Saccharomyces cerevisiae S288C: one gene and its partner. Changing the gene in region 1 together with any one later gene gives a genetic interaction. Each region holds a gene or a part of one and is shown in the gene's direction. Other genes may lie near its edges. The genes, in order: LDS2 and LDS1.

The links.
Region 2: of LDS2 (region 1) and LDS1, changing one enhances a phenotype caused by changing the other (phenotypic enhancement), as found in Saccharomyces cerevisiae (one study listed by BioGRID).

Annotation. Positions count from the first base shown.
Region 1 is NC_001147.6:240,956-244,847, reverse strand, and holds LDS2 (Lds2p), read left to right. Parts: upstream 1-2,100; coding exon 2,101-2,343; intron 2,344-2,406; coding exon 2,407-3,234; downstream 3,235-3,892. Other genes in the region: serine/threonine protein kinase PSK2, read right to left, coding at 1-1,351; RRT8 (Rrt8p), read left to right, coding at 3,538-3,822. UniProt on the Saccharomyces cerevisiae protein: Involved in spore wall assembly.
Region 2 is NC_001133.9:118,048-121,700, reverse strand, and holds LDS1 (Lds1p), read left to right. Parts: upstream 1-2,159; coding exon 2,160-3,137; downstream 3,138-3,653. Other genes in the region: serine/threonine protein kinase PSK1, read right to left, coding at 1-1,476; DNA-dependent ATPase FUN30, read right to left, coding at 3,387-3,653. UniProt on the Saccharomyces cerevisiae protein: Involved in spore wall assembly.

The DNA of each region.
Region 1 (3,892 bases):
TATCGTGAATTTCATTTGCAAATTTTACCGTTTTCTTTTCTGTCATTGGCGAAGTTGATTCTTGCTGCTTTTTCTTGTCAAAGTTTTCCAGAAAGTGTGTTGTATCAATAATGCTGTCCACTGAAAAATCTCTCAAGTTTAACATGACGTCAATGTAATCGCAAGGCGTTTTTTCAAATACGCAGACCAGTAGGCCATTCTTCCGCTTGGCCCATAGTGAAGCCCAAATCAGATTTGGTACATTATTATTGCTTGTCGAATTTGGCTGGACGATAGGTATAGTTTCTCCGGTAAACACAATTTCTTGGTTATCATCTTCTGCATTCATGATTTTCTCTAGAACAAAATTTCTGCTATCCGTATGAATAAGGTCTAGTAAAGTAAGTGCCTTGATAACATTCTTTGATATACCGAACGTTAGACACGCCAAATCATTGGCAGCTTTGAAGTTCCAGGGGTATTGTTGAGAACATGTAAAAATGGCCTCTGGACCAGAATTTTTTGCAGATGTGAAAGGATGAAGAATTCGGCTATAGTCCTGTTGTGGTTTGATGTCTGCTAAGGAGACTATATCATCGTGTTTCTCCTCATATTCATTATATTGCGATTTCGAACCTAAATCTTTGTGAGGGAACTTCTTGTAGTTTTCAAAAAATGGTTCTGCTAAACTATCTAATAAAACCTTTTTCAAAGTTTCTGATTTTTGAATGTCTGAATCAAAGTTTATTTTCTTGATATTCAATAACGATAGCATGTGTAAATCGGAAGCTCTTTCGAAGGAATTGTTTTCCAATGCTAAATTTAGCAAGAATAACAAGTTTTCTAACTCGGACTTGGCTGGATTCAGTTTACTGGCAGTATCATTATCAGGCAACACCATTAAGGACGTTGCTCTCTGTATCACGGGTCTACTAGCAGGAGATGGCATATTGGATACTAATGGTGAAATTAGAGACCCATTTAACGGATCTCGCGATGCTGATAACGTGGCAGTCTCTGTTAAGTTTCTTGTGTGTCTAAGTGAGGGGGGGTATGCTATTACGGGTGCTTTTTTCTTCAACTCATGTAAGATGTCAGGACTGTTTACCATTATTTCCAAAGACCTTCTTAAGATGGTCAACCTTACTCCCAGTGAGTTTGGTGATATGGGATTATACGAAAATGCATGCGGCGACTCATTAGGTACAGCAACAAGGTCCGAACGATCATCATCACTGAATGTTGACGAAAACGAATCGACGGACGAGGAAGCGTGTTGGTACAAGCATGGAGGTTTAGAGAGCCCTACCAACGGGGTATTTTTAGAATATGAAATGTCGGCAGGAGCGGCTGCACTAACCGGGTATGTCATTGTGTTCTTTGTTTATGATTCTTTACTTTAATCTAGCAGGGCAGAGGAGTAACAATAAAACGCCCTGCAAAGAAGTATGATTACTGTTCTTGCCAGACTTAGAATTCTAAGTGTTAAAAGTCACCAATAAGGAAGGAAAAAAGTTTATGATAGTTTATACTGTTGTTGTTACTACCTGCTCCGTTATGTTTCTAACAAGGAATAAAACAGGGTATAGACGTGATGTCAGCTTAAAGAGGAAAACGAAATATGTAAACTTTGTTAAAAATAAACAGGGCCCCTTATTGATCGTTCGCGATGCTATTATTTTATAAGCCAGCCTTTATCGTTTCTTTTGATCTTGTTTCTTTTTCTTGTTTTTTTTTTTAACTTCGTTCTCTTTTCACGTACTGATTACTCACACCAGGAGAAAGAAGTTGAAAAATGCTGTTATTCTCTGGAACACGCTATTAGATAGTACTTGCTGGTTCCGTAGACAAACAGCTCTTGCGCTTTATCACTTCGACAAGTGTCTTTACAGCTTCGCGATGACATATCGTCTCTTGCCCCTGCCCCACCTGTAACAATAGCTTGGCCAAAAAAGAAAAAAATGTTCCGACGAATTTTTCCGCTGATTTTGGCTGATCGCGTCGCGCCACAAAAACGAAACTTCCATAATAAAACATTATATAAAGCTTTTTATTATTATTATTATTACTTTCTTAGTTATAGCATTAGAACTATAAGAGCTGCTAAGACACCAAGCAAACATGTCGACTAGACCCCAACCTGATTGGTATTACCATAGACATCCATATGCCTCTACGCCACTGGCAGAAGGGGAGGAACCACAATTACTCCCCATCCAAGACCAAGGGAACCATAAGAAATCAAAAATTTGGATGGCATACAAGGCTCCGATAGTTCGATGGTACAAGAATGCTATGCTTGTTAAAGACAATTTTTGGAAAGACCTAGAGTCGTCGCACCAGATCATCTGGTATCCGTATAAAGTATGTTGATGTTCCAATAAGCAGATCATGTTTTTTAAGCCGTCATACTAACCGCCTTTGAAGGGAATTAGCGAATCCGTGGGAAACTCGGATTATTTGCATCTATTTTTCCTAATATTTGGATACTACCTGCTGAATCTCCTGCTTATTGTTGCGTTTACGTCAATCCTTGCGTGGTCCTTGTTAGTGTGCATCTATTTGCCCTTTCTCGGACTCTTTGCGTTACCTCTGGCTTATATGCAAACTATTCTGATTTCCACAACGCTATGTAATTCTATGGTGAAGGGTACCGATTTCGTTCTTTTCACACGTATTTATGGAGTGACGTTCGCAAGAAAGGGATTAACAGAGTTGAGTGAAGCCTGTGAAACGATAAGTTTCACGCCCTTTGTCTACAGAAGGTCACATCGTTTGGGTGGCCTCTTTTCGAAACGGTTTTACCTCGTCTCTTTGCCGCAGTTTTTCATTTTTTTCTTCTGGTACATCTTCATAGCCTTTATGTTTCTTTTATTGTTGCTCGTTCCAATAGTGGGTCCAATTACAATCAATATGCTACCATTTAGCCCCGGAATGGGATTTTACTATTTTGAGCCTTATTTTGTTGACGTGCTACATTTGGATTCGCGCAAACTTTCCAAAGTTTACTACAAGGGCTTTGCCAAGTGGCTCCTTTACTCGATATCCAGCGGTTTATTAGAGTCTATTCCCATTCTGGGTGGGTTGTTCATTGGAACAAACGCAGTAGGTGCTTCGCTTTGGATAGTTAAAGAGATAAAAGACCGGGACCAGCCAGCCGTACCTCCTTCCCCTCCTGCGGAACCAGAAGAGCCTACTGTAGGATCCTATGCACCTCCAATCCAACAATCTATAGCTCACATTAATCCGCCATGAAGCTCGCAACTCTTTTACATACCAATTTATATATTCATTATATGTTTACATATATAAATATATATATATACTATATACTATATATTACTTGCTAATAATATTCGTTTCTTTTCAACATTTGTATATGCATAAAAAATTTGGGAAATCAGGGGACTTATGAAAATCAGGGTGGTTACACTCGGAACTTCAAAACCTAAATAAAGTAAATCACTTTCAAGAAAGGTGAAGGGACGTCAAAAAAAGGAAAAAAAGGGCAAGGTATATCCCTGAGGACCCCTGGTTGGCTGTAAAGACAAACTAAGGATGAAAGCCGGAATTGAGCTTATAAGTCACAGCCAGGCTTCTCACGCCACATATGCTAATTCTATGACCCTTGCAGAAAAGGGGCCACAACGTTTAAAAAGACAATTCAAAGAACACAGTTCTTCAAAGGAAAGTAACGTAAGTCGTTGGCTAAAGATTTTCATAAGACAGTTTGATATTTGGTTTCCTGAAACGATACCAACAATGAAAGTGAGATACGAACTGCTTAGAAAAAACTTCATTAAAGAAATTTTCAACTCAAGAGCATTTATCTACCCATTCTTAGTAAGTACATGATTTTTGTTTGCATTGATATGACTTGTTTTATGACTAACATATTTAATTTTTATTTGTT
Region 2 (3,653 bases), on another chromosome or scaffold:
AATGGCATTCTGTGAGATACCGAATACTAAGCACGCTAGATCATTCGCAGCTCTGAATTGCCAAGGGTCTTCCTGACTACATGTAAAAATTGCCTGTGGGGCGGAATTTTTGGTAGAAGTGAATGTCCTCAATATGCGGCCATAGTCCTGTTGGGGCCGTATATCTGTTATCGCTGTCGTATCTCCAGAACCTGTAAATTCATCAATTTCCTCCTTTAGTTCATCTGTATCTGCGATCGGATTATCTCCAATAAAATTATAGTGCTCAAAGAATGGTTCTGCAAGACTATCCAGCAAAATCTTTTTAAGCTTTTCAGTTCTTTTATCGCGTTCTGAATTATTTTTCTTGGGATCTCCAAGCATTAGTTTATTCAAATTGAACAACGATATCATATGAAGATCCGAAGCTCTCTCGGAAGTATTTTTCTCCAGTGTTTCGTTTAATAAATTCAGAAGACTTTTCAAGTTCGCTCTTTGTTCATTCAATAGATCCATAGAGGGTCCATGGTGCGGTAAAAAAGTTTCATCTTCCTGATATGCCCTCTCATTGAGTAAACTGCTATTGCGGAGATTGCTAGTTTGATCCTTGAAGGGTTGTCTAAAACTTGGCCTTTCAGGACTTATGTTGTTTCCATAGTCGCCACGAAATAAAGAATTATTATGTTTGAGCAGCGGATCTTGCTCAGGTAAGATGGAAGGTAAATAAGCCAACGAGTTGGCTCTATGGAATGTTTGAGAATGTGTTGGATCCAAATTAGGGAAAACTGGGGTGCCCGGTTTTTTGTTAGATAAAGCAGAAGATGCTGCTGAGGAGGAAGAGGTATTATTTACAAATGCATTTAAAGTAGCGGAAGTAGTGTTCCAAATCTGGCTCTTATTTCTGTTCATTAAATGGTTTGCAGAAGCCGATGTCCTTGGTAAACTGCTCCTACGGCCCGCAAACTCTTTCAAAGGAGGCAAATCATCTGGAGTAGGCTCCAGTAGCATACTTGGGTTTTGTATTATGATTTCCAATGATCTCTTCAAAATCCTCAATCTGACTGCCAGGGAATTTGGCGAAAGTGGATTGTACGAATAAGAATGAGTTGATTCATTCGGAAGAAACTCTAACTCCTTTATGTCTTCATCCGTTAAGGGCGATGATACGGTTGAATCAACGGATGAAGAAGCTGTCGAAGGAAGTCTTGGTTGTTCAAAATCTAAAGGAGGTGGGGGTTTAGTCTTCCGAAAGCTCGCAAATGTATCTCTTAAACTTTGCTCGAACTCATCACCTTCCTTTTTATTCGGGGTTGAAACGTCACTTAAAGACGTATCGTAATTTTCTAATTCATTGTCAATATGGTTCTCTTGATCGGGGCTCGGTGGTGTCTGCAAAGATGCTACAGAACTGCTCGTACCTTTATGTGTAATCGCATGTTTTTCCTTCAAATTAACAAATGAATGTTCTGAGAGGTTGGAAGCACCGATGTAGGGCATTACTTCTTTGATGTTTACCTATATGCAAATTAGGGAGAGAACAAAACAAAACAAAACAAAACAAAAATAGAAGAAACAGAAAAACAAAGGTGAAAAAAAACAAAAGAGGGAGATGACGAACGGAAACTTTCACTCAATTGGTAAGCTACTGTTTCTAATTTCTGACTTACCAAAAAGATGCAAAATAACTATAATATACCGCTGTTGTGACGATATCCGGGGTTTCTAATCTTTTATGAGCTTTTGTATAGCAAAAAGGTGCAACGACGCCTGAAACAAAGGAAAAGAAGAGGATAATAGGAAAATAATACAAAAAACTGCACTTTGTAACGTTGATTTCCTTTTCAACGAATGCTATGTTGTGGTTAGCGACCTGCCCCTTGCCAAATCTTATTCACCACTTCCTTAGCATGTAATCATTTACTTAAAAAACCCTTGTTTTAATATTTATTACCCGCCATGGAATAAAGCACGTGACTCAATAATACGACGGGATCTTTCTGGTTTTGTGACACATGGAATAATATCATAGTAATAAGTATTATACATATACATATATATATAGATATAGATGTGGAAAAGGAAGTTTCAAATCATTTTTTATTTTCGTTCTTGCCACGAATAAGTGTTGTTATAGTGTAGGGAACAAAGGTACATTATACAAACAATAACAACAACAGGAAATGAGTTTTACAGGTTCATTAGCGCTGGCAGGTATTGGTGGTTTGGTGTACAAGTTTGGCGGAGGCCAATCGTATGAAAAACTGCCATATGTCAACATCCCCTTCAATCAGTACTTGGATAAAGTTTACAAGAAGCACTTCAGCAAAGTTATGAGCCGTACCAGATACGTGCTAATGAACTTTTTCAAAGATGCATTCACAGGAGGTGCATTCATGTACCCGTTCAAAGGGTTTTTAGAGTTCAACACCAATAAGAGCAGTTACTCAACGACTATGTTAGGTATATTATCGAGTTACTTGATAATGTTTGCCCTGGTAAGCTTTGTGTATTGGGCTACAATTACGCCAATGTACACAGCTTTTTTGATTGTGCTGGGCCCTATTGGGCTTTTCATTGCCATTTTTCATTCCTTTTTGCAAGCAAATGTTTTCACTTTATTGTTTATGAGACTCAGTCATTTTAATAATCATTTAGTGGAGGTGTGCTTAGAGAAGAATGGTTTAGAGGAGAATTTGAGTGAAGTCAAACCAATCAAGTACTATGCACCTATTAACTCGATATATTTCTGGGCTTACTATTTCCCATTCAAGTTGGTCAAGTACATGTTAGGCCTGTCGGTTCTTTTTGTGCTGTTGGTTATATCTTTTTTCCCACTTATTGGACCAATCCTTTTTCATATTTTAATTTCTCCTTTCATCACTCAAATTTACTTCACGAAAGTTTTACGTTTACAAAATTTCGACAACATACAAAGACGTGAAAATATTTATCTCCACGCTGGCCAATATGCCTCATTTGGTTTCTTGGCCGGTTTGATTGAGTCCGTGCCCATTTTAGCGGGCTTTGCCATTTCTACAAATACTATTGGTAGCGTTTTATTTAACCTTGATCATCCAATGGTCCCTGAAAATTTAGTAGAAACTCAAGCTGAAATTGAAGCAGCACCACAAGATATCAATCAACAACCGAATCAATAAATTGAAAAAAGTTCACCATTTCTCTCCCCAGATTAAAATTACCTAGCTATACATACTAACCTATGTATATATACACATATATGTATATTATACTCTAGAAAATATTTTTACCGTTCTAAATTTCTTTGTCCTTTGTTCTATCAACTCTCTTTTTCCACATGGTGCGTTCACGCAGAAGAAAATAAATATGTTATTTTTTTGGTTTATTTTCTGCTTATCTATTTACTTTTTTACTATATTTTTATTTATTTATTCTTTGGTTCCCTTCGGTTTCGAGTTTTCATCATAAATTATATCCTCCAACATATCACTAACTTTACTTTCCAACACATCTTGAGATTTTTTATCTTCACTGATATACGAATCTAAAGCTAGTTTATTTTTGGCCAGTTGATGAATCTTTTCCTCTATGGAATCCTTAGTAATTAAAGTGGTTATATTAACTTCCTTTGTTTGTCCCACACGATGTGCCCTATCAGCAGCTTGTCTGTCATCATGTGGGTTAAAACTTTGATC